Linked DNA regions of Schizosaccharomyces pombe. Changing the gene in region 2 together with the main gene of any one other region gives a genetic interaction. Each region holds a gene or a part of one and is shown on either strand. Other genes may lie near its edges. The genes, in order: ubr11, mef1, txc1 and SPOM_SPCC18.17C.

Region 1 (9,775 bases), on a different chromosome or scaffold from region 2:
ATTACTGATCGAGTCTAACAACAAAATCCCACATGCTTTGGTGATGAAAAAGATGCCGACACTACCGGTGCACGTAGCGGCATGCTTGTTGCATTCCCCAGTTAGTCTCCTACTGGAAACCGTATTCTGTCGAGCATTAAAACAGATGACACTGCCACATAACATACAAATTGCAGGAAGGATTGGAGTTTTATGGCACATACAGCAAACTGATTCTTGCATCGAATCAATTAAATTTTCTAGCCTGTGAGGTAATTTGACAAGCTCATATATGCCAGGATATTCCAAAGATATAGTACTATCACCCCATGTATTTTGAGCTAAGTGTTCACACCAGCCAGCGATTAATTCCAAAATCTGATTATTTTCATCAGAAGACATTTGAGAATACAGTTCTTGTAAAGGAGGAACTTTTATTAATTTGGAAAGCCTTTCTAATTCACTGTCATCTTCATTGTTGGAGAATTCATTGAACTCGAGTGAAATGTCAAACATGCAATATAATACCAAAGCAACTCGTCGGAGAAACGGTAAAGAATACTTCTCCACCAAAGACATTAAACGAAGTAAATTAGACTCATCATCCAAAATTTCAATGTTATTTGAAGAACCACACCAAAGCAGTACATTCTTGCATAGAATATAAAATTGGGACTTGGATTGCTGACTATAATTAATGGTTAAATCAGGAACGACCGATGAATCTGCAACCACTTTTATCATAGAAATTATTGTCTTGCAAATTTCTGAAAGATAGAAAAGCTTAACGTAATACAAAATATTATCTTGTTTACCAAAGATTAGCATTAAAGATGAAATTTTCACAAAGTCATCGAAAGTATTTGAAAGCAAAAACGGTTGAATTTGATCATGGTCAGACATCCGGCCATTTCTCAACATGGACTTTAATTGCGAGTGACGATAGAAAATTTTACAAACTAACAGTTTTTGGCTCTCCATTAACAAGAGGGCTTGTTGGTCAGATTTTATGATCTGATCACAAACACACTTCAAAACGGTATCAGATAAAGTCGGCAAAAACGATAATGTTAGGGGTCCCAGTTCATTGAACCACACCGATCGAGTTGCTCCACTTTGTTTCGGAGAGCACCTCTGACTAACTTCTAGAGAAGAAACGGTATAGGCCAAACTGTTCAGTAAATCATGAGGTGAAACATTCGTAAATGTACTTCCTTTAACCAATTTCATAGCCAATTTTGTTGTTTCACAATATCGATCATAAAGGTCGGATACGTCCCGATTATTACTTTGATCAATTAATGCACCATCGGCTATCTTTAAGCGAGCAAGCATTGCCGAGATAATTTTGCTGTTTATCCAAGGTCTCAGGAAACAGCTTCTAAAAGTATCTTTCGTGTCGGACAGAGAACTTCGAACTAATTGATATTCAAAGCTCGAGGAAGACATAGTACCGATTTCCTCTAACCAACCATTCATGCTACGAGGGAAATTAAGGGTGTCAATGTTGAGACACATTTTGGGGATCTGAGGCATAGGCAATAACACATTCGACAATGACCTACAGAGAGGACACATAAAAAATTTAGCAGTAGAATACTTGTAATAGTATTCACTTAACCCAGCGGTAACATCATTTCTATACATGGACCTAGCAACGTAATAGTTTTTAAAACAACCTAAATGCATGAGATGACCACAACCGGAGACAAAAACACCTCTTATGTTATTTCCTGGGGGATAAGCACTTAATAAACGATCTTTTGAACGGTTGAAAACAACTGTATCATATTTTTTTCCAAATGGCCTCGAATGAGATTCCCTATCTAAATTAGGGGGAACACTATAAATTTCATCCAAAATGATTTCGCTGTGAACATCTGTTTTTCGAAGTAATGAGCTTCCTTGAATAATGCCGATCACTCCATATGGTGCTTGATCGTTGCATTCCTCTTGGCAAAGCAAACAATTACCACGGATATGTTCATGGTACTTAACTTCCTCCTCTGGCTCTTCTGTTGTAACTTCATCTTCCGTTTGATCTTCTCCGATATCGAAATCGGTATTTTGGGCAAGAAAAGATGCTTGCTGATCGCGAAACTGCTGCATAATTTTCTTCTGTTTCTCTAAAGCTAATCTTTTCTTTTCCTGCGTTTTCTCAATCTCGTTAGAATCCGAAGTAGAAGAGGTAGTTGAGAGTTCAAAGTGTGTAGCTTCCAGCATGTTGCTATATGCAGATGGATCATTCTTTTGTAAGCCAGCCAATACAGCATTAACTTTTACATGAACATCTTTGTATTTAGGAGACTTGAGAATTGCAAAACAAAGTTCCGCTAAGCAGTACGCACTGCCACCAAATTCTCTCATAATACTACTATCAGTCGGATAACGCTCAGCGCATGAACGGGAGCAGAAGTCATTTGATTTCGAGAATTCATGAATTTTCATAGAGATTAGACACAACTGAAGTGCATCGCCCAGAATAGTATTTCCAATATCGGATGATCCAAAGGACTCCGCTTGAACAAGTGCATACTCAATCGCACGAAAAATGATAAGACTAAAAGTGCTCGCATTGACGGCTGCAAAAAATATATCATGGCCGTCCTTCTCAAGAAATCTAATTTTTGGTTCTATTATAATCGACTCAGCACTTACATTATTTTTCTTCGCCAAACGTTTTTTAAGGATAGTATCTGACTCCTCTCGTTCATTTTTATTATAATGAAAATAATATGGATCCACCAAATCATAATATTCGTCCTTCAAACTGTAAACGCCAAAATCGTGGAGACCGTCAGGTGCTTTGTAGGAAGTTACTTCTTCTCGAATTTTATCAAATGACAAACTCTCTACTAAATTACTTGAAATAGTAGACAGCAATGCAGAATAAGCAAGAGGACCAAAGCATAGCTGTTGAGCTAATCGAGTGCGAATAATATCTTGGATATCAACATGTAAAATTTGTTCGCGCTCTGTTATAAGGGCAATTAATAACTCTAACATTTTACACAACATAGCTGGTATTCTTTCCGTGTCGTAATTGGGATGTTCATTATAAGTCAAATTATAAAGCCAATCAGTAAATTCAAATCTTTGAACAACTGCATTTAAAACCAAGTTTGGATCAACAAACATTAATATTGTTTGAATAGCGAGGATGTCCTTATCATAAGAAACTTCGATGTTATTAAGTTGACGATAGAAAGCGTCAGTTAATAAAATACTACGCCCATTTCTTATCCAAAGGTTACAATCAATTTGAGCTAAAAGCACACAAACCCTCAAAGGATGGTCAAGAAGAGCAAGTAGTGTATCCTTATCCCAATGAGAAGAAGCGTCAACACGACAATATGAAAATAAATTGGAAAGCATCCAGTGAAGAGGATGATAAAAACTTATAGGATCCCTCGACACGGAAAACGGAACTAAGGGCTGTGTAAAATTTGTCAAAGATGAAGAGGGAATACAAGAGAGAGGTTCGAGAGACTCTGCAATGTCTAATTTAGGGTGGGTGATGGAAGTTATGATACATTTTATAGCATAAAACAACCGTTCATATGGTGCTTGTGTAAAACAAGATGAAACAGTGTTACTGAGCATAGCTACCCTTTGCATTACAAACAATATATTTTTCCCATGAGGAAAATCCCACTGTACGTGACTGAGTATTGCCCGTTGTTGTGGAATCACACCTTGGAACACCCGTAACAAATCAATATACTGATGAACATAACGCGTATCATCCACTACAAGCTTTTTGACTTGCGGATGTTGAAGTAAGTATCCGAGATCACTAAACAAATTGTAAGTCCTTCGGGTTTTTAAGACTTGTCGGTTTAGCTGAATTGTGGGAGTGTATTCAATGTCTGAAGAAAAAAGGGTTGACGGCCGGTTAGACTGCGTTAGTAAGCTTAAAGTTGTTGCGTTTAAATTAGTTAAAAAATCATAGTCTTTCACAACGGCTTCTGCAAGACTAGGAGTAGTGAAAAATTGAACGGAAAGAAACATGACAGAGTGGTCTGGCTCTCTATCTGCAAAAAGAAACGCTGTAGCGAGAGACCTATAATGGATTACGAAACGTATACCCATAAGACGCTTAAATAGAAGATTTCTATTAAAAGGAACAACATACAATTTTGAGAGCAGCCCTCTTAACCGTTTCCAAAATTTGAGATCAAACAGCAAAAAGTAATCTAAACGAAGAATGGAAGATGGAGATTCAACGAAGCTATATGACGAAGGAGGAATTGGATGAGGACTTTTCCAATAATCCTCACGAAGAGATACTTGACAAACCGCAGCAGGGCGGGGTCTACGACGAGCGTTTATGATTTGTCGAAGGTTATTAAGGAGTTGAGAGTTAAACTCCGGGCGAATAGTAACGACATCCTGAGTTGCAGTAGTGGGAATAGGTACAGGAGTATGCGTCTGAGGATTATAATCTACATTTTCAGTGTTTTGTGATTCATCAGTTTCGTTTTGACTTTCGGTTTCCATTGAAATATCTTGAACATCGTCTTGACGAGTGTTTCGGTTTACACCAGGATAATCAGCCTCAGCAGCTTCATTTTCTTCTGTCTCCATAACTTCATCAGTTAAATCATCAATATCCTCTCGTTCTGTTTCAAAATCCAGAAGGTCATTTACGTCGTTATCATCATCAAGTGGATGATCAAATCCTGCAATAGTAGGATCGGTCATATCCGCTTCAAAATCTTCATCACCACCCAAATTAGCAATTCTAGTTACACCTGTTTCATCTTGAAGGTTTGCGATAACATCGAGAAGTTCTTCTGCGGCATAAATATCATCCTCGCTATCATCGTCATTAACAATCTCCAGAGGAAGGTTATTAAAATTCACCTCAGGCTTAGCAGGTTTTTCAAGGCCAGGAGACCAGTTCTTCAAAATTTCATCGCAAACGATAATTTGTAAATAATCAGCAAAATAGCAAACATGTGATTCTAGAAGATCATCGAACCATTCTAATAGAATACCACAAATATCTTCGCGAAAAAAATCGCGGGCAGTACGAACATTAACAGCTAAGTTTTCTTTTGAAATAGCGTTCGCGATTCTTATTGCTTCGTGAACTGAAGCCGATGTAGCAACAGCAAAGCGGCCAATAGAATCAACACGTTGAGCGACTTCAAGTCCAAAAGCCGTATTTGACGAATCTAACGCCTCAAGCACACTACCTACAACAGCGTCAAAGGTATGCACTTCGTCGTTCCAAAGCATTACACGGAAAACGTTGCAAGGCCTATCAGCTACACCATACTTTGCGCTGCTAAGACGAGAGGCCTCCTCATCTGCTAAGATGCTACCGACAGTAGATTGAGCTTTAAGATTCACGGGGGAACAAGAAAAGACATCGAGAATGAAGTCAAGAAGAATATGAATAGTTGTACGGATAGAGTGTTGAAGTTCTAGTGGGATCACTTCTTCTGGCTTTTTCTGCTCCTCGTCATCGGGGACATTATGTATCTTGCAGTTAAGGTCGACATTCCATGCCTCAGGATCGCCACAGTCGCAGATTCCACTATAAGAGGTTGAAATAGATACATGAGTCTCGTGACCCTCGTGGTTTGTGGCATGAAAGCAAGGAGCACAAAGAACACATGTGTTATCTAGCCCACAGTTCTTGCAACGATATATCACCTCGCCGGCACGAAATACGTGGCCACAAACCTTGGACCCAGAACGTTTATCTTGTAATTCTTGGGCGCATTCGGGTTCAGAGTGCTGAAGCCTCGAGAGACGAAAGTCAGAAGTAATGGCACCTGGCTTTTCTTTGAGAAAATATTTCCAATTGTCTTCGTTGTAATTCAGCAACGACAGGAAAACCTCTTGCAGCAAGTGCGTTTTTGATTCTTCATTTGAATCGTATGCATGCTTTTCCGCGCTTTCTAGAAGGTATTTTTGTAACCTAGAAGCCGATGGTTGCGAAAGAGGAGCCGGCGGGTCGTGCAATTGCATGAAATTATAGGAAAGGTTCTGTGAAGTAGATCTTGGGCCGCAAAGTTTTCTTCAATAATTAAATTGGTTTAAAAAAGCTATTTAATAAACAACAGGCACGCTAAAGCCACGGAATATACAAATTTTCATCAACAGAAAATTGGGGAAGTAATTGAAACAGCATTCAGTTGAATAAAGCAAACTCCAATCCTCCTTTACCTTCTTTAAACTTTTCTGTTGAAACAAATTTCTCTAAAAATATTTTTGGCAGCTATAAACCGTTCCTTCTTAATATTTCTGATTTGTATACCTAAATGGCGAGTTACTTCTTGCCATTGCCAAAAATCCATTTATACTACTTTCAGGTAACATCGTCACCTTTCTTGTATCAGTAGCCAATTGAAGATACCAAAAAATGACACCAGCTTGATAAATTCATCAGCTGTAGTCAACTCTTTAAAGCCATTTACTTTCAATTCAATTTCCTATTTCCTTCTTCTTAATATGTGTTAATATGTGTTGATTGCTTTTTTTCGTTTCGATCTAGTGGGCTTGATTTCATCCTTTGCCAGATAGGAATCACCATCATATGAGTTGGAAAGTAAGAGATATGCACCCTAGAGTAATCCAGCTCGAGATTCTTAAACTATTTATCCTTTTTAATCTAATTAAAATTTTTTCCTTTGGGTGATAATTTTCCATCGAGTTTGAATTACCCAAACTTCTCAATTATCTAACACCCCAAGATTTCAAAGTAAATATTGTTATCGCAGTGCATAGTAGATTTTAATGAGCGCTTGAATACTTCGGGCCCATGGAAATCATATCAAGGTTAAACAGTAGCATGCGCACACTATATTTTACTATACTATACTATAATACTTTAAGTAGGGCCAAAAGTTGATGGCTTGAAAAATGGGTTAAATGTTGAAAAAGGCTTTAAAATAATAGATAACCTTAAAGAAATAAATATTACTTCATGGGAATAGTTTATTTAAATTTCATTAGTTTTCCAGCAGTATTGTTAGCAAATAAAAGCAATTGCTCTTACATTGTTGCCGAGCACGGAGGCTAAATTCGACTCTTTCCAACTAATTAAGTTGGCACATGACGGGAATAGTTAGTGTGTTTAAAATAAATTTAGCAACAATTATTGCTGATCTTTCTTTAGGGAAAAAGGAAAAAAGTGTCACAAACCGGGATCGAACCGATGACCAACAGATCTTCAGTCTGTCATGCTCCCAACTACACCATTGCGACTGTTGTCGGCTTTCTTGAATTAGTAATATGTAATATGTTGTTTAGAAAGTGGTAAGTTAGTGTGCTTTTCTTATATTTACAATGTCAAGTGTTTCTTAAGCACATAAGTAGTATAATATTGAAACATAAAATAGCAAGTATAATACAGTTACTTTATTTTCTCTGGAACAAAGATGGCGATCGGGTAGTGAGATTTACAGAATAAGACAACATTATACCAGATACAAGCTGGAAAGAAATCACTTAATAAATTGTAAAGGCAAGACCAATATTGAAAGTATGATGAATGCCAGAAAATGAATGTCGTTCATATTAGCTTGACTGAATCATAGCAAAAATGGAATAGGTATTAATATCCGAGTTCTCCTCATTTTCTGCTTCCAATACCTAGTTTCTCATACAAAGTGGTTCAGGGTATTGACCACTATATGACTACGCTTTATAGTGCAACAATCAAAGCTTTTTTAATTGAATAGGTGCAGCTATCGCTTACTTTTATCTTGCTACACTTTGTCCAACTTTGAATATCTCTGCTAAACGTTTGTCATTAAGGTTAATCAAACGACTTTTATCATTCGAGTATGTTGTTACACTACCCTAGTTTCTTCTGCTAATAAATTATCAATCGTACGTTAGATGTAGCCAAGCGAGAAATCGCTACTTAGTGTTGCAAGCAAAGATGCATACAATGCAAATGCGCAAAGCCGCATCAGTAGTATAAATTGAATAAATAACAAACAGCATTTATACATGGATTTATCAGCCTTGGATATTGAATTTAATTATTTCCTCAAAAACCTAGGATAATGTAAAAATAAAGGGACCAGCCGGATTTGAACCAGCGACCTGGGGATCTGCAATCCCTCACTCTAACCACTGAGCTATGACCCCTTTCTGACATTTCAGTAATTCCTAATGTTATTTAACGGTTTTAACAACGAATAATAATATATAATTGAAGTTTGAGTACAATTTATTTATGAATATTTATTTTTGGAAGTACGAATCGTTTTTAGCAATTAAACTTGCAGTTGTATATATATATTTGTTTAATGATAAGAAGCTGTTCTTTTTTTTTGTAGTATTCAGTGTATTATGGAGATCGTATTCGCACGTGTCATAAAAAAAAATTTACTATTATAAACTTTTTTTTTTTTTTTTTTTTTTTTTAAAAAAATAAAATACGCATATACCTTCTATTTAAATAAAACTACGTAAAATAACTTAGTTTGAATATTTTTTTTTTCGAATTCGCGTGCCTATTTTAGTATTGGTATAGGTAAAATCGAAAAGAAAGTGTGGTATTAACAAACATGATGAATATTCATTCCTTTGTATGCAACATAAATAAATTGCGATTAAATTGGTTAAAGATGAATAAATTATTTATTGTTCTTGTGAATATTTAGTATCGTGTAGCATCAGGGAAAGGCGAAATTCGCATTATAATCATAATAATATTGGCGTCTAATACACTATTACTATAGAAGAATTGGTATTGCTATTTACTCGTATACTTTTGACTATTCACATGGTATATATTCTTTCATTTTATCTAAATTTATATGAGAGTTTATTATCCTAGAAATTCAGCTAACATTTGATTATCAAGAAACACAACCTAATTACAGGTAATGACAGAGAGCCTGATATTTTCGTAAACCAACATTTAGCGTAGTAAATTGGTTGACTGGAAGATTTATTCCCTTCAATCCGGTTCAAGTGAAAAATTCAATCATATTTAAGAGGGATTCATTCGGTGCAACAGTATTTTCATCAACCGGTAATAAATCATATATTGTCTGAAAAGTTTCAAATCTTCTTTGTGCAATATCTTTGTTTTTATGCGTTCCACTAAAAGCATCCAAAATCAGCGCATTCCAAAATAAAGGACTTTTGTCAAATTGCGGCTGCATAGATTTTTGAAGGTACTCAACTGCCTTAGCAAGATTTTCAGAGACTAGTTCATGAAAGCTAAATTATGATTAGTTGATTGATGTCGATACTTAGTACATACCGATGCAAGTGTAACTGGAGAGACACATTAGATAGACAATGCTTTATCCCCCAACGATCTAGAATATCTAGTTTCCAGAAATCTGAAAGCTTCATTGGTCTCAAAGGATGCGTACTTGCATTTCCACCCATTAAATATATAATGTTTCTATTCAAATCAGCCGCGACTGCGTGTCCAAACCTTTTAAAATTAAGCGTCAGATGATTTACCTTTTTCCCAAAGACATACCTGGAACAAGGATGTTCATTTCCTTCTTCTTCATTAATATCACTTATTTTAACCCATTCCTCTGTCGTTATGTAAAATATCCATAAACTTGGTCGAAGGACTTTGTGAATGTTTCGCTGTTCAAAACCAAACATAGTGAAAATGCGATGGTTTTTCGAATCCATAATACTCCTTTGACAAAATGAAGGACTTGGACTTTGGGATGTATCGTTTTTCCTAACATGCTGCACAGCTTCTCTTGTTTCTAACTTAATATAACACATGTCTAAGATGAATTCTTGATCATAGCTTTGACCACCGAAAATATAAAGTTTGTTCTCATCAGGAAAA
Region 2 (7,029 bases):
AACAATATCCGATCGATTTGTTTATCTAATAGCGCATCGCGTAAAATATTTTAGCGTCTTTAAGAAAACATAAATATCTCTTATCTACAAATAACAGAAAATTACATCAACCTTATAAAATATAAAGCATTCCAGAAAACACACTATTCTCCTTTCACACCTAAACTGGTCTTGCATTCATTTGGTCTCGAAGTTATATCTCATATACATATTTGCAGTCCACTCTGCAAAAAACAAATAATACAAAAAGGGTATACGAGTTGTTAAAGAAAAAGGTCCCTGCTTGCTTTACATACTTGGCCGTGTTAATTAATTCAATATGGTGTCGATTTACGTTCCCTTGATATATATTACCATTTTAATGGGCTCTATGTATGGAGTTTCTCGTTTTGTGCGAAAATCCAAAAATCAGGAATCAAAACCAGTATCAGAAGAATGGTTTGGAGAAAATTATTCTAGAAATATATTTTTCAGTCTTTTGCAGCAGAATCCACCTGCCGAGGATACACTTTTGAAAGCTGCTCTCGTTTTACGGGCTACAGAAGGTCTTCGTCGATTGATGAAGCTTAAAGTATCGAGAATGGCATTGAATAATTTGCTCAACCGCGGCGGCGTTGGTGACGAGCTAATTCGTAAGTTTGGTCGTTTGGAAAAGGAAACTGAATTGGAGTTGATGGATATTGCCAAAACTGCCAATTCATTGCAGCCTGGATGGAATCAGTTTATATTCCAAACTTGCAATGAAATAATTGAAAACGAAAAAATTCACAGCATAATTGATAATATTCCCAAGGACATTGATTCTATTTCGCAACGTTGGCAAACCGAAAAAATTCTGTATGAAGCCGCTGATGAGGAATTGCGTATTCAAGCCCAAAAAGAACTTGGAGTGCTATAAATTGTTTTAAAAAAAGATGTTCGTATGTGCCTTTATTCTTTTTTTCCTGTTTCTTTCTTGCATCTGATGTTTTACGTTTTCTTATCTTTTTCTTTCTTTGAAACTAAAATTCCTATTTTATACAATAATCCTTAGAACTCATTCATAAATCAAATTCAGTAATAGACTCCATAAAGGGGGCTTGCTTTATCACTGTCCTTACCTTTATATTGAAAGTCATACTTTTTTCCTATTCATATTATCTATCATCCTATTCCTACTCCCTTTTTTTTCCAAACCAATAACAAAAATATGGAAAGAAAGAAGGAAAAAGAAAAAAGCACTATTTGAAAACAAGTTATTGGAATTCAAATGTATGTTCTGGCCAAAATGTCTCCGTTAAGAGCTCAGCCTTTATAAGTTGGTCTATAATTTACTCTTCATATTCTTTAATATACTCATTCTCTGTTCCATGAACTATCTTGCACAAAAAAAATTGTACATTACTTGTATGGTAATAATCTGGGTATTTATTTTTTTTATTTGCATGTAGATTGCTGCGTTAGTAAAGAGGAGAGTGGATCAAAATTTTTTTTTTTAAATAGAAATGACTGGTTACCAAAAACTTTGCTGTTGCTTCATTTAAAACGGACTTCAAAAATTATTTTTGTTGTTGTTTGTTGTACGCGTCAACAAGTTCCTTCTGCACATATTTTGGTGCTGGAAGATATTTGAGAAACTCCATGCTAAACTCACCCTTGCCTTTAGTCAAGGCTCGTATATCCGAGGAATAAGAAAACATGCTGTTCAAAGGGACCTCCGCCTGCAACGTAAACTCATCTTCGTCTGTATCGCTATCGACAATAGTCGCCTTACGCTTATCAAGATTACCAATTACACCACCTTGATGTTCAACAGGCGCCGTTATGCTTACGTTCATAATTGGTTCCAAAACCATTGGGTTCGCTTGCAAGAAAGCTGTACGGAAAGCAGAAATGGTGGCTAAACGAAATGCCAATTCAGAGGAATCAACGGGATGATAAGCACCATCTTCTAAAACGAACCTGCAATTTTTTATAGGATGACCAATGAGAAATCCTTTTTTCAATGCTTCGTAAAAAGCTTTTTCACAAGCTGGAATATACTGCGTAGGGACTGTTCCACCGGTAACTTTGTTGATAAATTCACAATCAACAACGTTTCCAGATTCGTCTTCCACACCATCCATGTATTCAATGTACCCTTCTACTTTTGCATATTGACCGGCTCCACCAGATTGTTTTTTGTGCAGGTAGCTGAAAGGTACCTTTTTGGAAAGAGTTTCCCGGAATGCAACTCTTGGTTTACCCGTTTCACAGTCAACCTTGTACTCACGACGCATACGTTCGACATAAACTTCCAAATGAAGTTCACCCATACCACTAATGATGGTTTCTTTCGATTCATTATCCAACTGCACACGAAAAGTGGGATCTTCACGCTGAAAGCGATTCAAAGCCTTAGAAAAACTGGTTGTATCTTTGCTCTTCGGTTTTAAAGAAAGTGAAATTACGGGTTCTGGTACAAACATTGAAGTCATAGTATACGATACGGAACCGTCCGTGAAGGTGTCTCCAGAAGCGCATTCGATACCAAATAACGCACAAATCCCTCCAGCTTCAACCTTTTCGATTTCTTCCATATCATTGGAATGCATACGAACGAGGCGTGAAACTTTTATTTTTTTTGTAGAATTGACATTGTAAATGTAATTACCCCGCTTGAGTGTACCTTGATAAATTCGCAAATAGGTGAGCTGGCCAAACCTTCCCTCCTCGAGTTTGAAAGCAAGAGCGACAAGCGGCTTCTCACTGCTAGGAACAAGGGATACTGGCTTTTCTGAGTCTGCTGCATTCAAAGCTATATTTTCGACCTCAGAAGGGTTGGGTAGGTAGTCGCAAACAGCATCCAAAACAGATTGAACTCCAACATTGGACAAGGCAGAACCCATTAATACAGGTGTAAACTTCCTTGCAAGTGTAGTTCTACGAATAGCTCCCATAAGCTGCTCAGGTGTAGGGTCTTCTTCCATTACGTATATATCAGCAATTTCTTCGTCTAAATCGGCAAGCTTTTCAATTAAAGCTGAGCGCTTTTCTTTTGCTAGTTCAATAAGATTCTCAGGAACCTGCTGAGAAATTTCGATTTTCTCACCCTTCGACCCACGATTATAAATTGCACGCATTTGTATAAGATCAACCACACCTTCAAGTTTGTCTTCTTGACCTATAGGAATTTGAACAGCTGCAGCGGGAATTTTCAATTTTGTGTTTATTTGCTGAATGACCTTCCACGGATCTGCACCCATACGATCCATTTTGTTAACAAAAGAGATCCTGGGGACATTGTAGCGGCGCATTTGTCGATCAACTGTGATAGTTTGCGATTGAACACCGGAGACAGCACAGAGTACCAACACTGCACCATCTAGCACACGTAAGGCACGCTCCACCTCAATGGTAAAATCAATGTGACCAGGTGTATCAATAATATTAATGTTATAACTTTTCTCAAAGTCAGTTTTTTGTTTTTCGTTAGCTTCAATCTGATCCACAGTACGTTCCCAAGTGCAATGGGTAGCAGCCGATTGAATGGTAATTCCTTTTTCCCGTTCAAGTTCCATGAAATCCATTTTTGCTCCGACATTATCCTTTCCTCTGACTTCATGAATGTCTTTTATCCTTCCTGTATAGTACAAAACTCTTTCAGTAAAGGTAGTCTTGCCGGAATCAATATGGGCAGATATTCCAATATTTCGAATTTGTTTAAGTCGCTTTTTATCGTTATCATTCAACTGTTCTTGGATATTCAAATTATTTTCTGATGTATTAGAAGCTTCAATGCCCGTATTTGCTACTGACGCGTAACCACGGACGACTAAAGTAGAAAGTCTGGGGAGGCGGCTTGTCAGCGACCTAAATGATAATTTTAGCATTTTATATTATTTCAATAGAATATAAAAACAGCCATGAATAACATAAACAATAAATTCCTAGCTTTGGGAACACGCTGAGGTGGTGAGAGTCGTCGAGCAAGGTGGGAGGAGCAAAGTCGCTTTGTTTACGTGTCGCGAGTTACCGCGGTAACATATTAAATTTATTTAAACGTAAATCAAATACTTACTTAACGCATTTTTAATGAATAACAAAATATACATTTTATATGGAGAATATATATGTATTTGCAATTGAATGTTGCTGATTATTTAAAAGTAGCTTGCTTATCGTCAAGAAAAAAGCGACTTCGTTCTGTATTCGGTATCTCCATGTTTAAATGATTCATGAGGCGGTCCAAGCATAGTACTTATAAAAGAAATACAACTATTTTGTCATGAAGTATTTTGGGCATTGTATCAGAAAGCGCGCTTTTCTAGTATCCACAATCGGTTTGAACCTCACCACCATCGCAATCTATTTCTACTACTAGGGTTTTTTGCTCTTTGCAGTTTTTTAAGCTGAGCTTATTCAATCCTTACTGCTTAATCGGTTAATACCATTTTTTTTCTAATTCTTCTCACGGTTTTTATGACGGCGTATTATATTTAGCTTGAAGAATCTGGACTTAAAAATCTAAGAAGGGTTTAAGAATGCTTGTTGAGGGTGATAAAGGTGTTTTAGAGCCAGTTAACTTTGTGGGTCCTGTTACTAGCTTGGCCCTTATTCACAATGATAAGTTTTTATGCTGTGCTCAAGGACCTTGTTTAAGAATTTACGATGTTTCTGAAAGTCGACACGAAAGTGATTTAATTAAATCAATTTTACTTCCATTTCATAATAGAATACATGGAATGCTTCCTTGTAAACAAGGATTATTTGTTTGGGGAGGAACCTATTTTGCAGTTGTTGATGTTGAAACGAGCCAAGTTTACTATGACCGTATATCTGACTGGATATTTAATGCAGCGGAGCTTGGTGAAGAAAATAAATTTTGCGTCGTTACATCGAAAAATCAAGTTCATCTTCTTTCGTTAAGTAAAGGTTCGTGGGAAGTTACAAATACAATATCTTGCGAGAAAACGCCTCTTTTGTTTTGCGCAACGGTACAAATAAGTGGAAATGAAATTTACATAGCTTCTGCTTCCGCTTTTCAGCAAATTTACGTGTGGAAATTCAATTATAACAATCCACCTTCTTGTGTTTCCATTGACACCTACCTTGTTGGACACGAAGGTGCTTGCTTTGATCTCAAGTTTTCATCGGATGGACGTTACCTTTGCTCAGTTTCTGAAGATCGTACCCTAAGGCTTTGGTCGATCGAGTCGTCACCCTTTTTAATAGCGACAGGCTTTGGTCACTCAGCTCGTGTTTGGCGTTGCGTGTTTCTACCCAACAAAGAAATAGCCACAGTTTCTGAAGATTTGACCTTACGTCTCTGGACTTGGAATGATAAAACGCTCACTAATACTTACACATATACTGGTCATCGCGGGAAACACATATGGTCACTAGTTGTCTCCTCTGCGAACCCAATAATATATACCGGTGGAAATGATGGATCAGTTAGGTCTTGGGATTACAAAACTCGTATTCAGGAATCCTGCATCTCAGTATCCTCATTGTTCACCTCAAAGACTTTGCTTGCTTCTTTTTGTTTTGTTAAATGTCAAAAATTATTATGCCTTGCCAAAAATGGGTAAGCGATTTGCATGCTATCAAATATTCATCTGTCTAACCCAATTAATTTAGAGAAATGTCAATTATAGATAATAAAGGAAAAAAAGCTATTCCTGCTTTGACTACCACATCGGACATGTCTATAATTCGTTCTTGGAAAAACTCTTTTTTTGTTGCTGCTGCCTCCAACAAAGGTACTATATATGTGTTTTCATATCAAAATACGAATTTATTAAAAGCTATTGATTTGCATAGGGGAAAGATTCAGCAACTGCTTACTTATCAAGTTAAAGAAAGATATTTTCTACTATCAAAATCATTTGTAGGAAAAAACCAATTTCGAGTTTACTTACAGGAATTTGATTTTGAAGCCGATAAGGTCAACCTAATTTCAACAATAGAACTGGAGTTGCCGGCAACATTTGATCCGACTTCTCTTACAGTTGATGAAGAATATTCAAATTTTTTAATTGGTTCTCGAACAGGATCGCTGGCTTTGTACAATATTGGTGAAAGCAACTACCTTTCTGTATGGAGGAGAATTCATGAATTTGATGCAATTTCATCCATTCACATCAAGTCGTCAAAACGTGATTACCTCTTAATTCAAACAGTCGGACGTGATGGTTATGTCAATTTATTTTCAATTCCGAGGGTAGAAAAAAGTGCTGTTCCTCAGGAGCTGTGTTCGAAAAAATGTTGTGATGGTATACTAAGCGGGGTGAGTATTATCTTTAAGAATATACGGTTCATGGTTCAGCTAACATATGCTAGGGTTTGTGTAAAAAATTAAAAAATGGAAAGGAAAATCAATGGGTTTGGGGTTTTCATGCATCAAATTTTTTTTTAAGGGATGAGACAAATGAAACTAATGTTTTCTTTATTGATTGTGGAGGTAGTCATCGTCCATGGGCTTTTTCAATGGAGATGGACATTCAAAGTTTTGCATCTTATAGAGCAAATCAACTTTATATTTATAGCACTGCTTTAAATCTTTTGCAAAGAAATTCTGTATTACAAAATGGTTTGCATGGGCGTGAGATTCGAGCAATGGATTTCAATCCTTCAGGGGATCTTTTATTATCAGGATCTGAAGATACTAAAGTAACCCTGCTTGAGTTTCAGAGTAATGGAAACATAATTCCTCTGAATTCTGTCAAGTTTCATAATTCAGGAATCCAATCGCTGACCTGGTTTAGCGATGATATTTTATTTTCCACTGGTGGTCTTGAAGAGTTAAATGTTTATAGGCTAATACAAAAGCCAGAGGCATATCTGAAACGGATCGTTCATGAAAAACTCTGCAAACCAAATAAAAGTAACAAGACTTACGATGGGGATCTTCGAATAACTGACATTTCTGTTGTAAAGGCAACCCATCTGGGTGAAAGAGTGTTATGGATTAATACTGTACAGTCCGATTCGACTATCAAAGCATTCACTTATAACGTAGATACGAAGCAGCTAAATTGTATAAAAAGTTGGAAATATAAGACAGTT
Region 3 (7,091 bases), 210 kb from region 2:
ACATCTTTGGACTGTAAAAAGAGGCACCGATGCAGTCAGTAGCGGAGCAAAATGGAGAACCATGGTGATGATGACTTTTTTTCAACGAGAGATTTAAGGCGATAGGTGGGGTCGAAATATAGCATGTATAAAGATGTGCAGGGCAGGGATGAAAAATTAAACTGACGGTTGGGAATGAATGAGAAAAAAAAGAAATTAGTTTAAATTATAATAAAATAGAATAAAATAAATGGAATTCAATAATAGAGAACTAGAGAAGTAAAAATAAAAAGAGAAAAAATAATAAAACAAAATTTACACATGATAGAGATATAAATATATTTCACTATTAGAGAATGGTTTTACTTTTATATATCTATTTATTTATTTATTTATTTTTTTTCGATTTCTAACGACAAAGTGCGAATCGTTTATTGATTATACATTGTATTTATGATAGTAGGTGAGCAAACAACCGGAACTCGAAAAATATTTGCGAAAACTTGCGTACAAAAAGATGAGTGAATTCTAATAAAATGAAATGACTGTGGCATGATTGATGTTTTGTTTCCCATGTCTCAATGAGTAGCATCAAAATTAATTTTACCTGTTGTCCTTGTGCGACACCCATAGCGGGAGAACTAGCTAAAAAAGAAGTGAAATCTCGTTGTTGTTTCACACATTGTCTTACAATTCCATGGAATGACTTGATTCTGAAGACGGTCGGAAGCAACTTTCTGCCTCGACCGGTAACGTAGAATTCACGTACCATTTACTTATACTCATGTAACCTTGTTGTAAGTGTTTGGGATCTTTGAATCTAACGTTCGCGGGATCTAGCACGTGTTACTCTGTAGTTTGCCACGAAGCAATAACTCCTCAGCAAAGAGCTAGGATGCAACACTCTGCCAACAGTAACAATCACCAACTGTAGTAGCTACTGGATCCGATCCCACCTGTGCTTCCTCTGTAGGTATGCAAAACATCCCACATAGGTACATCTATCCCACATTTTCACGTACCCATCCCACATGTATCCATCCTACATACATCCATGTGCTTTGCTATATGCAGAATACAATAGTGCTAAACGCATCAGAATCTTTTGGAAAAATTTTAACCTACTACTGGAATTCATTCATTTCATGAAATCGATTATTAAAGGACGTATGAATCTTGTTTACAAACCCATGAGGGTCTTTTTTGCATACTATGTTTTCAATGATTTTCCTTTGATCAGATAACGAACGCTGCGTGTTTCGGTTATGTGCTAGAAAAATCGCATTCCAACAAACGAGTAAAAATAGAATAAGATGGTTTAGTAATTAAACTCGAGAACGAAAAAAAAAATAAAATAAAAAAATAGAAAATATCGTATGTACGGCTTCTCAAGAAAAATTTTTTTCAAGTTCTTTTTCTTTTTTTGGCTCTAAGTAGGTAAGGCGTATTCAAATCAAAACTCCTTTCCCACTTTTTCCCATGTCTTCCTTGTTTTTCTTTGTTTTTATTTTTCTGTCAAGTTTCTCCTTTTTGGGACATTTATTTACTACTTTTTCCAGAATCTTGTATAAACACCCTATTCCATATGTATCTAGTACTATCCAGTGCAGCGGGACAAAGAGAAGCGTAGAGAAAAAAAAGCCAGTTATGCAAAAATCAGGATATTCGCTAAAGATATCAAGATGCAGATCATTCTCGTTTGTATTTTTTTTTCAAGGATGAAAAATTAGAAAAATAAAAAAAAGTAGAGAAAGAAAATGCAAGAACACTTCTTTGGTCATTTTTATTCAACATCGATTTTCTCATTAAAAATTTCTAATCCTTTCATGCTTTGTTGAACCAGTGAGGCATTTTTCAGTCGCATAAAAATATCAACAACAGGGGCGAGACACGGTTAAGGCAAGGGTTAACAGCGGTTCAGGTCCTTTTGCACGGATTCATGTCCGTAGCGACATTAGGAGTAAACCTTAGGAATATAAAAGTCAACCAAAAAATAGTACGTTCTCTTTCTTTCTTTTTTTTTTTTTTTTTCTCTAAATAATCAAATCCATAATGTTCAATCCTCCCACACCAATGTAATCCCGAATGTACGCATATCCATGTTTCTCTTAATAAACATTCACCATGGAAAAGAAAACACGTTACATATGGCGTGCCATTTCTTTCTTCAATGTAAAATTATACAAAGTTATACTTTTACGCTACCCCCAGCCTTGGCTTGCCCTCCCCCACCCTTCTTTCCATGACTTGTTTCACATCTATAGCGAACCTTTTCCCTTGGTCTTGCTTTGGTTGTCACCGTATTTCTGCGCTGTAACTTTGTCACGTGTCACCGTTCATTATTCTTGCATGTTCAAGCAACCGGTTTTTATCAAAATCCTATACATATATATTGTTACAATGAGCGCCACACGGCCCACATCCTACCCGCCTGGATAGAAACAATGTTACCAAGGAAGAACTTTGGTGTTGTCTTTTTCATGGGCCTTTTAGCTTAGTTGTTCGTATGCCTTGAAATTCTGTTCCTCATACAGTGCTACAAAAGTCTCGCTAATTTAACGTTGAAATTTCTACACTTTCTTTCATCTACCACGTAGAAATTTACGACTGAATAACTTTTTTTTGCGAGAAAACCAAAAAAAAAACAAAAAGGCCCCTTTATATTTATGTATAGATTTTCTTTTATTTATTTTTTAAAATTCTGGTATTCATACTATTCATCGAATATTTTCAAGTTGGTGTTTAAAAGTCAGTAAGGAGGTTGTTTGCTTATACTGTCAACGTTTCTTTGGTACAAAAGTGAGTTTTCGGTTATTGTCTCAAAATCAAAATTTTTTAAAAAGCAATAAAATAATTCATCGTTAAAAAACTACTTTTATATTCTTTCTTTTCAGTTTTGAATTCTGATTTTGATTCCATTTTTGTTTTTCTTTTGCTGAAGACTAGTAAAGCTTCTAAGAAAAATATTTTAACGCATAACGTACTTCTGGTCTCGGGAGGCTTTTTCGCCATATTTTTCCGCTTTTGGTTTTCTTCCTATTAGTTGTTTTGTTTGAGTATTTGCTTCCGAGTGTCGGTCTTACGTCTTAGTGTGCTCGCAAATAACTTTCCCTTTTACTTTTTGTTAGCGAGTTTACCGTTTATTTATTCACCTATCAACTCGCCTAGTCTTGCATTTTTAACGATTTCCTTAGAAGTTTGTACTAAATGTCTGGCCCTCACCATTGTTCCGCTGACTGTGATGAACATCCGTTTGAGTCTGGTCCAAATGATACCTTGTATTCTTGCATCCGAAAGGAATCAATTGTTACGCTGAATGAAGCTGTACCAGATTCCGGAAAACTCGTCTTCAAACCTTGGGACCTTCGTTATGATGACACTGATATCGTAGAAAGTGATGCTGATGACCAACTCTTGTTTCAGGTACCGTTTGCAGGTGCGGCAACACTAAAATCAATTTTGGTTCGCATTTTTCCTAATGAAACCGCTCCACACTCCTTTTCACTTTTTCCCAATCGTACCGACTTGGATTTTGACACAATCGGTGATGTCCAAGCCACTGAAACATTTGAATTTCCCTTGACTTTTGAAGGAAGCCATATCTTCGAGTTTCCTGTTAAGACTCGTCTCTATCAAAACCTTCAAAATCTCAATATCTTCTTCACCAAAAGCGACGGTTCTGATGATCCTACACAAATCGCCTACATTGGTCTTCGTGGTTCTTTTGTTCCCTTCAAGGGTGATCCTGTTGTAACCATTTACGAAGCTACTCCTAGACCTTCAGATCATCCCAAAGTTAACCAAGAGGAGGTTTTCCGTTCTTACTATTAAGCTCCCGGGAAGTTTAGATTCCTTCCTTTTGGTTTTTTCCTCTCTTATTTGAGATTTTTGTTTTACCCAAAGCAAAATAAAAAATATATATGAAACGATACGAATACGCTTTGATTTGGATTTTTTTTAATGACGGTTATTTAAAGAATATCTAACGCCCTTTTTCTTTTCTTTTTCTTAAATGGCTAAGTCTCCATACTTTTTTAGCTTATGTTTAAATGTTGGTTTGTATTTATTGGCCGATTAATTATGTGTTTATGTAAAAGAAATGAGCCTTGATTAGGTTCTTTTTTTCTTCCTCTATTATTTTTTGTTTTTCTCTTGAATTTAAATGTTGCTTGCAGTAGATTAAATTATAAATTAGCTGTGCTATAAATGTGAAAATATTTAACAATGTGACCTCAATATAATTTATGCTTTGCCTCTGGGATGTCGTTTGCGTTTTCTATCAGATGGTAAGTCAAAGTCTCGTCGTAGTTTAGTTCGCAAACTGGGTATTGCATAGTTTATCACTTTGACTGATCGTCTTAGTTTTTCACGTCCATTAATCCTTGGTTGAGATTCTTCAAAATCACATGGGGAGCTGTCTCCGGTTGCTTGTCCTTTAAGGTCAGTTATCTGTTCAGCACTTTTACAAGGAATACAAACACAAACATTTGATGTTTTAGCCTTTTCTTCTTCAGTTTCGCCCTCGTTGATGGATTCAAATTCGTTTTCTTTTAATTCCTTTGAAAAGATGGTGATATTTTTTTGCGGCAATGAGTAATTCACCTCATCTTGTGGTATTTTGTTTACGTGGGCATTGGTTTTATCTTTTAATATACATTTTCCAGGTTTTTCAGATAGAGCCGGAGGACCATGGACTTTTTTTTGGAAATCTTGAAAACAATACAATGGTTGCCCTGTTTCGAGACTTTTAAGTTCATCATTAAATGATACATACTCCAAGCGTTTATTATGCAAAATCTGATAATCTTCTTTCGAATCTTTATTTTCACAGGTTGTAAATTGACTTTTTACATTCGCTTCGAGGAAATCTGATGAACACTTTTTCTCTATAATCTTCAGTAAACTTTGCACTTGTGAAATCTTTTTGTGAATGGTTTGTATCTCAGGAAAGAAGTTTTTTAACAAGTCCTCAGTTTGAGATTGATTGCGAAATCGAGCTTCAAGTTTAACCAAATAACTTTTCAAAGTGAAATTTTCTTGTATCAAATCTTGAATTTCGTTTTCAGATTCTCTAATTTTTATAGAAAGCTGAGTATTTATTCTGAAAGTTAGATGTTTATTATTTACCACAAGGGATTCAAAAATGGTGTACTTTGACCTTACTTTATAATTTCACGATTTTGTTTTAAAAATTTCTTTTTCAACGACTCCATCGGCAATTTATCTTCATTGTTTATATTTGAATTTATAAATTGAAAGTTCATAGCTTTTTTAAAGCTTTTTTTGCGAAAAGCAATTAAGGACTTGCTGATGTAAACAAACCTGTTAAGTGTAAGGTAAACAATCGCAAACTAAAGTCTTGTCATATTGAGAAAGGCTCTTTTCTTTAAGGAACTTGCCAAATCAATGTAAATTAGTATATAATAAATTAGATGAAAGATGGTTGTACGACTTAATGCAGCCCATATCCTGAATAAAAATTGATAAAAAGAACATAAAATTAATTACTGCTTCGCTATCCGACAATATCCATCCAACTCCTGAGAGATTAAATGTAATATTCGACGAATTCTTTCATCAAACTTTTGGAAATAATGATGCAATTGTGAGAAATTAGATTCGTCCGTGGTCTTTCCTATTGCTATAAAGTTAGAGGACAAGGGAGCTTTATACTTTTTGAAAACACCTCTAAAGAATTCATAAGCTTCCAGTATACTGGTGAGATAACCATGAAAAACAGTACAAAAACTGAGATCGTAAGTCTAAGTAAGTAGTCGGTTAGTATGCATCATTAAGAAAACGTGTTAAACATTGGCATATTATATCAACGAACGTTGAATTTAACTACATGCAAAGGTATAACATTATCAACCCTAAAAATTGCAGATACGTCTTTTGGATAAGATCCCTTACATAGTAGTCCGCTTAAAATTTATGTAAAACTTACTATAGGTAAAAGCTCCATGTTCTTGCTAGCATGGTCTTTTCCAAAAGGGTATCTTATGCTGTCTAATATTGCTCGAAAATGTGAAATGCTCCTGGTCGTAACGTAAAACCCTTTTTCAGTCAACAAATAATTCCGAAACTCAGCCGTAGTAATATAAATGGAACGAGCAACGTCTTTAGCATCGCCATCGGATTCCTGAATTAGACATTGTATGTTTCTAGCATGAGATAACAAAGCGACCGTTCTAACTGTTAGCCATAAAATGGTAAAGAGTTTCTTATAAAAATGTAATCGTATTAAAATGGGTAGGTTAATACCAGATACGAACCTTTTTTTAAAATTGTTTCTAACCATAAACGAGTCAAGTGCTTTTCGGTCAAGTGAGACTCCATGGAAGCGAATTTTATCATTTTTAGAAAATCTAATAAAGTTAGTAAGTAAACTCATAAATCATTCACTTTAAATTTTAAAACTTCAGGCGACAAACACAGAAATTCTTATAATTACACACACATTTCAAAAAACTTGGCTATATATGCTTCATTTTTATTAATTCTATCCTCAATGGAGCTATTAGATATCATATTTCGAAGCCGCTCTTGTCAATTTTAGACTCAAATCGTTTAACACACATGCACATGCATGTGCACGCACTAAGAAGTTAGAAAAGGGAGATCTATTTAACACCTGATAAAACTTGGGTTAAAACTTCAAGTCTACAGTCTTGATACGAAATTATATCTACGCCATAGAGAAAAAAAAATAAAAATTACATACTATGGTTTGACAGATTTTAGCGTTAGTTTTTGAAGAGGTCGTATACAGCATATTAGGTATACGCTGCAGTAATTATAACCCAATAAGTCAAAATTTTTTCTTTATTTGTTGCTGATTGTTTCCTTTACTAAAAAGGGATTTACCATTACTCAAAAGAAATTACCTAGTTTCCAATAAATCATATGGCATTTGTCCAGTTCAAATACTTTAAGACACGTATAGTTTATTTTTTGAATGTCCAGCTAAAAAATATATTACACGAATCAGTATAAAAAGAATTCCTTTCTTTTATTCTATTTATTTGTAATTGAAAACGAATTAGCTTCCGTTGTCATTTTACCAATTGTTAGTACCTAGAATACATATGGTTTGGTTATATATGTGTATG
Region 4 (6,353 bases), on a different chromosome or scaffold from region 2:
CGGTTTTGTAGTTTTCTCCATTTCGTTCCATCCTCAGGTTTCCGATAGGTTGTTCGTCATCTCAGTGTTTACTACTTGTAACGGTGATAATTGTCCGTATCCCCGTAAAATTTGCCTTATTCAGAAGAGTATAATTTTCTTTTTAAAATAACCCACATGGCTTCTGTTGCCCACATCAGCACGGCTAAAGCGATTTTTCGAGCTGGCGGTTTGCCTTGCAGAAGATTGATTACCCCAACACTCACTGGTGTAAGTAAATTGTAATTTGTGTTTTAGAATGAGACTCCGTGAAAATCGGTTGGAGAGAGAAAAAGTCATGAATGTTGCGAAGTAGTTACCTATTAAAAAAAGAAGAGTTGCTCTTCGTACTTGTTTTCTCTCTTTTTTTATTAAATGACTACTTGCTAGTTTAACCGTTTTGTTAACCGTTCATTCCATAACTCTTGTGATATGCCTTGTTTAGTCGTGCGTTATCCCATTGAAACGCATGATCCACTAACACCACGAAATATTATTATGAAAAGAATAAGTTCAGTGTTTTGATGTGTCGGCATTTGTTTTTGTTGTAATGCTCGAATACGGCTGAAGAAATTGAAGAATACACTTCGTTTTTCTGTTTCTTTCGTTGGTTCCATCTACTCTTGCGAATGAACAATGGCGTGGCACAGAGTTCCAGCTTTCGCGGTTTCAGCAAGATGCAGCGGTTGAGTCACATCTATTTCGCTTTACTCTATTGATTTATGCAATTTGCGTATGACACTAACTTTTTATTTTTTAGTTACCTCTAAAAACTCATAGAATGAATTCCACTACTCCGACTTATCATCTCATTCCCAAAGGCGGTAAGCATGGCGAGTTCCGACAGGAATCTGACACCTTTGGTCCCATACAAGTCCCTGCAGAAAAGTATTGGGGTGCTCAAACTCAGCGTTCTCTTCAAAACTTTCGAATTGGTGGTGAAAAAGAGCGACTTCCTCTTCCCTTAGTTCGCGCATTTGGAGTTTTAAAGCGTGCGGCTGCTTCTGTTAATCGTGAATTCGGTTTGGATCCCAAACTTGCAGATGCCATTGAACAGGCTGCCCAAGAAGTCATTGATGGTCGTTTGGATGATAACTTCCCCTTGGTTGTTTTCCAAACTGGCTCGGGCACCCAATCCAATATGAACAGTAACGAGGTAATCGCTAATCGTGCCATAGAAATCCTTGGTGGTACGTTAGGTTCGAAAAAGCCCGTTCATCCAAACGATCACGTTAACATGTCTCAATCTTCTAACGACACTTTCCCCACTGTTATGCATATTGCCTCTGTTTTGCAAATTCACACTCATTTACTTCCTGCCATGAAGCACCTCCACCGGGCCTTGAAGGGTAAGGAAGAGGAGTTTAAGAACATTATCAAAATCGGTCGAACCCACATGCAAGATGCCACTCCTCTTTCTTTAGGTCAAGAATTTTCCGGCTATGTTACTCAGGTTGGTTATGGCATTGAGCGCATAAACAACGCTCTTCCTCGTCTTTGTCTTCTCGCTCAAGGTGGTACTGCCGTGGGTACTGGACTAAATACTTTTGAAGGATTTGACGTGAAGGTTGCTGAGAAGGTTTCAAAGCTTACAAATATTGAGTTTAAGACCGCCCCTAACAAGTTTGAGGCTCTTGCAGCCCATGATGCGATTGTGGAGATGAGTGGTGCTTTAAATGTTATTGCTTGTTCTCTTATGAAAATTGCTAACGATATTCGTCAACTTGGTTCTGGCCCTCGTTGTGGTTTAGGCGAATTGATCCTTCCTGCTAATGAACCTGGAAGTTCAATCATGCCAGGCAAAGTAAACCCCACCCAATGTGAAGCCTTAACAATGGTTTGTGCTCAAGTAATGGGCAATCATGCCACTATTACTGTCGCTGGTGCCTCCGGACACTGTGAACTCAATGTTTTTAAACCTCTTTTAGCAAAGAACATTCTAAGCAGTATTCGTCTTTTAGGGGATGCTTGCGAGTCTTTTACTGATCATTGCGTTGTCGGCATTGAGCCAAATTACGAAGGTATTGCCCGTCATCTTCGTGATTCCTTGATGCTTGTTACTGCGTTAAATCCTCACATCGGTTATGATAACTGTGCCAAGATTGCCAAGACTGCTCTTAAAAATAAGAGCACTCTCAAGCACGAGTTTGTTACTTTGGGTTTCGGTACCCCCGAGCAATTCGATGAATGGGTTCGCCCTGAATTAATGATTTCAGCTAAGAAAGTATAATTTTTTACCACTCTACTTGTTGGTCCGTTAATATTGGATCATCAGTTGTTGCTCTTTATCCTTTTTCATGCTCTTTATCCATCCTTCTCTTTTATCTTCTCTCAACTTACTTTTTACGAAAATCATTCCCCTTCTCATAATATTAACTAGCTTTTTTGCAAAAATACCCATTATGTTAAATGAGTTTTTTTTTCTTGCACAAGCCATAGGCTCTCAAACAAAATAGTAGGCACTCATTTAAAAAAAATGGTTAGTTCGTGAAGTAGATTAATGCGTAATTTTGATTAAGTGTTTCTTTGTTTTCCACCCCTACAGTTATAGTCGTAAACCAAGAATGCAAAGGTGTTTGATACCCTTTTCTTTGTATGTGTATTTCCTTGATATTCGGTTGCTCGGTTAAAATTAAGCTTACTTAAACGAGATAAAATTGCCTCTTGCCTGATTTCAGCCGATCCATCGCCAATATACGGGATCTGTTAAAAACAAGCCAAATGGATAGTATAGAACTCATACCAGGCTTACCAGGACCCGGTAGAAGACTATTACAGTTATTGAAAGATCTCCCTTCAAACCCGTCGGTTATCGTTCGTGAAATCCCTGATGCCATAGATGCGTTCCGTGAAAGTATAACGCCTGCTACAAGGCCATCATGCTTAGGACTCTTGGATACCATACTTAGTTGTTTTGAGCTTCCAATACCTACCGAGCCGATTATGAAGGCTTTGGGTAAGCTGCTTGAGCCAATGAGTTGGGCCGATTTGAAAAAGTTTGGAATTGAATCTTACTTGGTTACTGGACTTGAACATCCTTCTACAGATGTCGAAATCTTTTGTCTGCACCTTATACGCCGTGCAAATTGGGAAAAGAAGGAGATTGGTGAACCACTGTTTGAGGCGATTATGGCATGCATCAACTCTCGAAGCATAGCAGTTTCCGAAGAAGCTACTGTTTTGCTATTCGATATGGCAGATTTTCCATACTACTTTAATTTAATTATAAAGCGTTTTACATTTGTTGACTATGAAATTATGAACTCTACGCTGAGGGTACGCTGGTTGACACTGTTCGCAAAACTGTCTACGAAGTCTCCAGAATATTTGGAAGAACTGATTAAGGACGACAAGCTTGTAATTAATGGTGACAATAAAGACATATTGCTTCAAATTAATTTCGTGGATGTCCTTGGGATAATGTTAGAGGCTCCTTTTACATACGAGTATATAAGTTCTGAAAAAACAAAGTATTTGGACACGATCGCTCAAGACTACAAAGGTTCAGCGGATTCTTATACGGATCATATTGGATTAAAGTTCCTTCCCAGGCTCTGCGAATTGCATCCAGACGCTATTAACTCGTTGGATGAGAAGCATCAACTATTTGACGCTGTTCGCGAGAGAATGAAGACGAACGATGCTACATCTATTCTTCTTTACGGAGTTTTTTTGTCTAACACAGTGGTAACTCAAGCACTTATCAAGAAATATGGCATTGAGGACGAAGCTAATCGTTATGTGCCAAGATGGTTGACAAGACGATTTTTGATGGACGAACCGGGTATGTCTTCTTTTGCTCATGCTCTTTTACAGCCTGATCATAATTTGTGGATGCAGCTTTGGAGAATATTACCTCCCAACACCTTGAGCACTTTAGTAAACACTGCTTCTTCTCCGATTCCTCGTTCTAGGCAACTAGCATACCAATGCTTGCTACACATTGCTCAAAATTCGCCTATCCAAATTGCTTCTGAAGGATTCGCTATCCGTCATTTACTTGAAGCAGAAGGTGACCATGAAACATGCTTACTGCGGTTTCAAGTGTTAAAGACCATGATGGAATCTCCTCATGGCGGACCCAAGCTACCTTTTGGTAGATATCGGGAAGACATTCTTAAAAGACTACAGCAAGGGCCGATTGTTAGCGGTGCTTCAACGTTAAAAGTGGCCGCAGAAACTGCTTAAGTAGTTTACAACTATTATATTCCAAAAAATCTTGCTTTCTTCTATTATTACAGCAAGCAAAATTTTCCCTCTTTTTCGACTTCCTTAAACGTCAGGTTCGTATGCCGCTTTTTTTGAAATATGATGTATAAAAAAAAATGGCTGTTAGCTATAGGGATAGTGTTTAGTTTCTTAACATGGATATTTATAGTCCTATATATTTTCACAAATGGAAAGCTTTTATGAATTGCAATTTCACTTTCACTTGGCAGTCTTTGGGGACGGAATTTATGGATGCCACCCAAGGCCTTTTGTCAATCTAATAATTATGCAATTGTCTACTTGTTTCTCAAAAAATTTAATTAATAACTATTTTATTTTGTGCCCAGAACAGCGCTGTAAAACTGCTTGAATACCAAGCGCTATTATATTAAGGTTAAATCTTTAATTCCTCTTGAATATCAAACGCAAGTTTTTTATTAAACTTACGAATTCATAATAGAGTTAAACAACCGTTGAGCATTTGTGGTTATTACCAACCTTGAGATTTAACCATTGATGGTCAATGGTTGATGAACCAATTGTTTTATTATTTTTTTGTTATTCATAGATATCAACTAAACTAATTTAAAATAAGCGTAATGGAAATATTTGTCCAACATGACTCTCTTCATTAGGCTGAGCTACGCTTACTAACTACCTACTTCCACTAGTATTTTTCCAATTGCGCTAGCAACCTTTGATTTACTCTATGACAGTTAATTTAGAAGAAAAGAGGCCTGAAATTGTTGGTCCTGAAAAGGTGCAAAGCCCTTATCCTATTCGCTTCGAAGGGAAAGTTGTTCATGGCTTTGGTAGAGGCTCAAAAGAGCTTGGAATTCCAACTGCAAATATATCAGAAGATGCAATTCAAGAGCTTCTTAGATATAGAGATTCTGGTGTTTATTTTGGATATGCTATGGTACAAAAACGAGTATTCCCCATGGTGATGAGTGTTGGATGGAATCCGTACTATAAAAACAAGCTACGAAGTGCAGAAGTGCATCTCATAGAAAGACAAGGTGAAGATTTTTACGAAGAAATAATGCGTGTTATTGTTTTGGGATACATTAGGCCTGAGCTAAATTATGCCGGTTTAGATAAATTAATCGAAGATATACACACCGATATTAGAGTTGCTTTAAATAGCATGGATCGTCCTTCTTATTCTAGCTATAAGAAGGACCCATTTTTCAAGGTATAAAATACAATAAGATCCTTAAAAGAAATCTTTTTGTGTACTTTTACTCATCCTTGCCGCTGCCAAAATGCTTTAATAAATCCTGCTGTATTATTCCTTCTTTAATTTCTCTTCCTTTTTGTTAATAAGTATTTGGTTAGATTGGCTTTTGTTTTTTAAATACATTTTGTTAATTTCAGATGGCAATGACTGTAAAGATTTACAATTTTGTGAACACAATAGTACTGCCATAATCGTACTTAAACTTTTTTTATTTTAATAAACATTTATTGTATTTCATTGATTATAAAGAACGATAGTATTTGGTCGGATGAGAATGAAAAAAAAAAAAAAACAATGAAGGAACAGAGACAGGTGGAAGAGAGTCAGTAAGTAAGAAAAAGAAGCGAAAACAAGAACGTAAATGATCATTTTTTCTGTTTGTAAAGATAAAACAAAGAAATGGAAAAGTAACGATTATGAACAACGTTATTCTACACAAATTTTGTATAGCAAACATGCAAAAAAAGAAAAAGGAAAAAATATGCCCGTTATTCTCCTCCCCAAAGTCTACTAAACAAACGAATGCATGCTAAATATCTTCCCAAAGGCAAACTCTTTTATCATAAAACGAGCAAGTAGCAAGTAGACCATCGGTGTGACGCCAGTCTCCTCCGTAACACATGCTTTCATGCTCCTTAAAAATGCGTTTGCTAGCATCAATTGAACTAAAATCATTAGAGATTCGTAAAACTTGAGCACCACGATGCATTAAAATGCCAAGGACTTTATGATAATTTTCAGTAGTCTCCATGTGCTCAAGACGCCATACACCACCACCCAGATTAGCACTAAAAAGTGGCTTTCCAATATTTCGGGTATCCAACGTATGCATAAAATCTCCATACTCGCCAGTAGCAATATAAGGACCAAAGGGGGCTCGAGAGAG

What was found.
Region 1: of mef1 (region 2) and ubr11, extra expression of one rescues a mutant of the other (dosage rescue), as found in Schizosaccharomyces pombe (one large-scale study listed by BioGRID).
Region 3: of mef1 (region 2) and txc1, extra expression of one rescues a mutant of the other (dosage rescue), as found in Schizosaccharomyces pombe (one large-scale study listed by BioGRID).
Region 4: of mef1 (region 2) and SPOM_SPCC18.17C, extra expression of one rescues a mutant of the other (dosage rescue), as found in Schizosaccharomyces pombe (one large-scale study listed by BioGRID).

The regions. Positions count from the first base shown.
Region 1 is NC_003424.3:3,698,981-3,708,755, reverse strand, and holds the start of ubr11 (ubiquitin-protein ligase E3 Ubr11), read right to left. Parts: upstream 6,265-9,775; 5' UTR 5,962-6,264; coding exon 1-5,961. Other genes in the region: mde6 (muskelin), read right to left, coding at 8,919-9,174, 9,218-9,397, 9,446-9,775.
Region 2 is NC_003423.3:1,176,542-1,183,570, forward strand, and holds mef1 (mitochondrial translation elongation factor G), read right to left. Parts: upstream 3,946-7,029; 5' UTR 3,852-3,945; coding exon 1,539-3,851; 3' UTR 1,335-1,538; downstream 1-1,334. Other genes in the region: translocation subcomplex subunit Sec66, read left to right, coding at 320-898; protein Trm734, read left to right, coding at 4,503-5,548, 5,602-6,250, 6,304-7,029. UniProt on the Schizosaccharomyces pombe protein: Mitochondrial GTPase that catalyzes the GTP-dependent ribosomal translocation step during translation elongation.
Region 3 is NC_003423.3:963,525-970,615, forward strand, and holds txc1 (poteasome interacting protein Txc1), read left to right. Parts: upstream 1-2,755; 5' UTR 2,756-3,186; coding exon 3,187-3,810; 3' UTR 3,811-4,221; coding exon of another isoform or gene 4,222-5,080; 3' UTR 5,081-5,142; coding exon of another isoform or gene 5,143-5,243; 3' UTR 5,244-5,367; downstream 5,368-7,091. Other genes in the region: SPOM_SPBP35G2.17 (uncharacterized protein), read right to left, coding at 431-751; shugoshin Sgo1, read right to left, coding at 4,222-5,080, 5,143-5,243; SPOM_SPBP35G2.04C (uncharacterized protein), read right to left, coding at 5,484-5,741, 5,927-6,347, 6,440-6,510.
Region 4 is NC_003421.2:1,984,526-1,990,878, reverse strand, and holds SPOM_SPCC18.17C (proteasome non-ATPase regulatory subunit), read left to right. Parts: upstream 1-2,703; 5' UTR 2,704-2,739; coding exon 2,740-4,206; 3' UTR 4,207-4,545; downstream 4,546-6,353. Other genes in the region: fum1 (fumarate hydratase), read left to right, coding at 157-249, 779-2,248; riboflavin kinase Fmn1, read left to right, coding at 4,937-5,428; dph7 (WD repeat-containing protein), read right to left, coding at 5,997-6,353.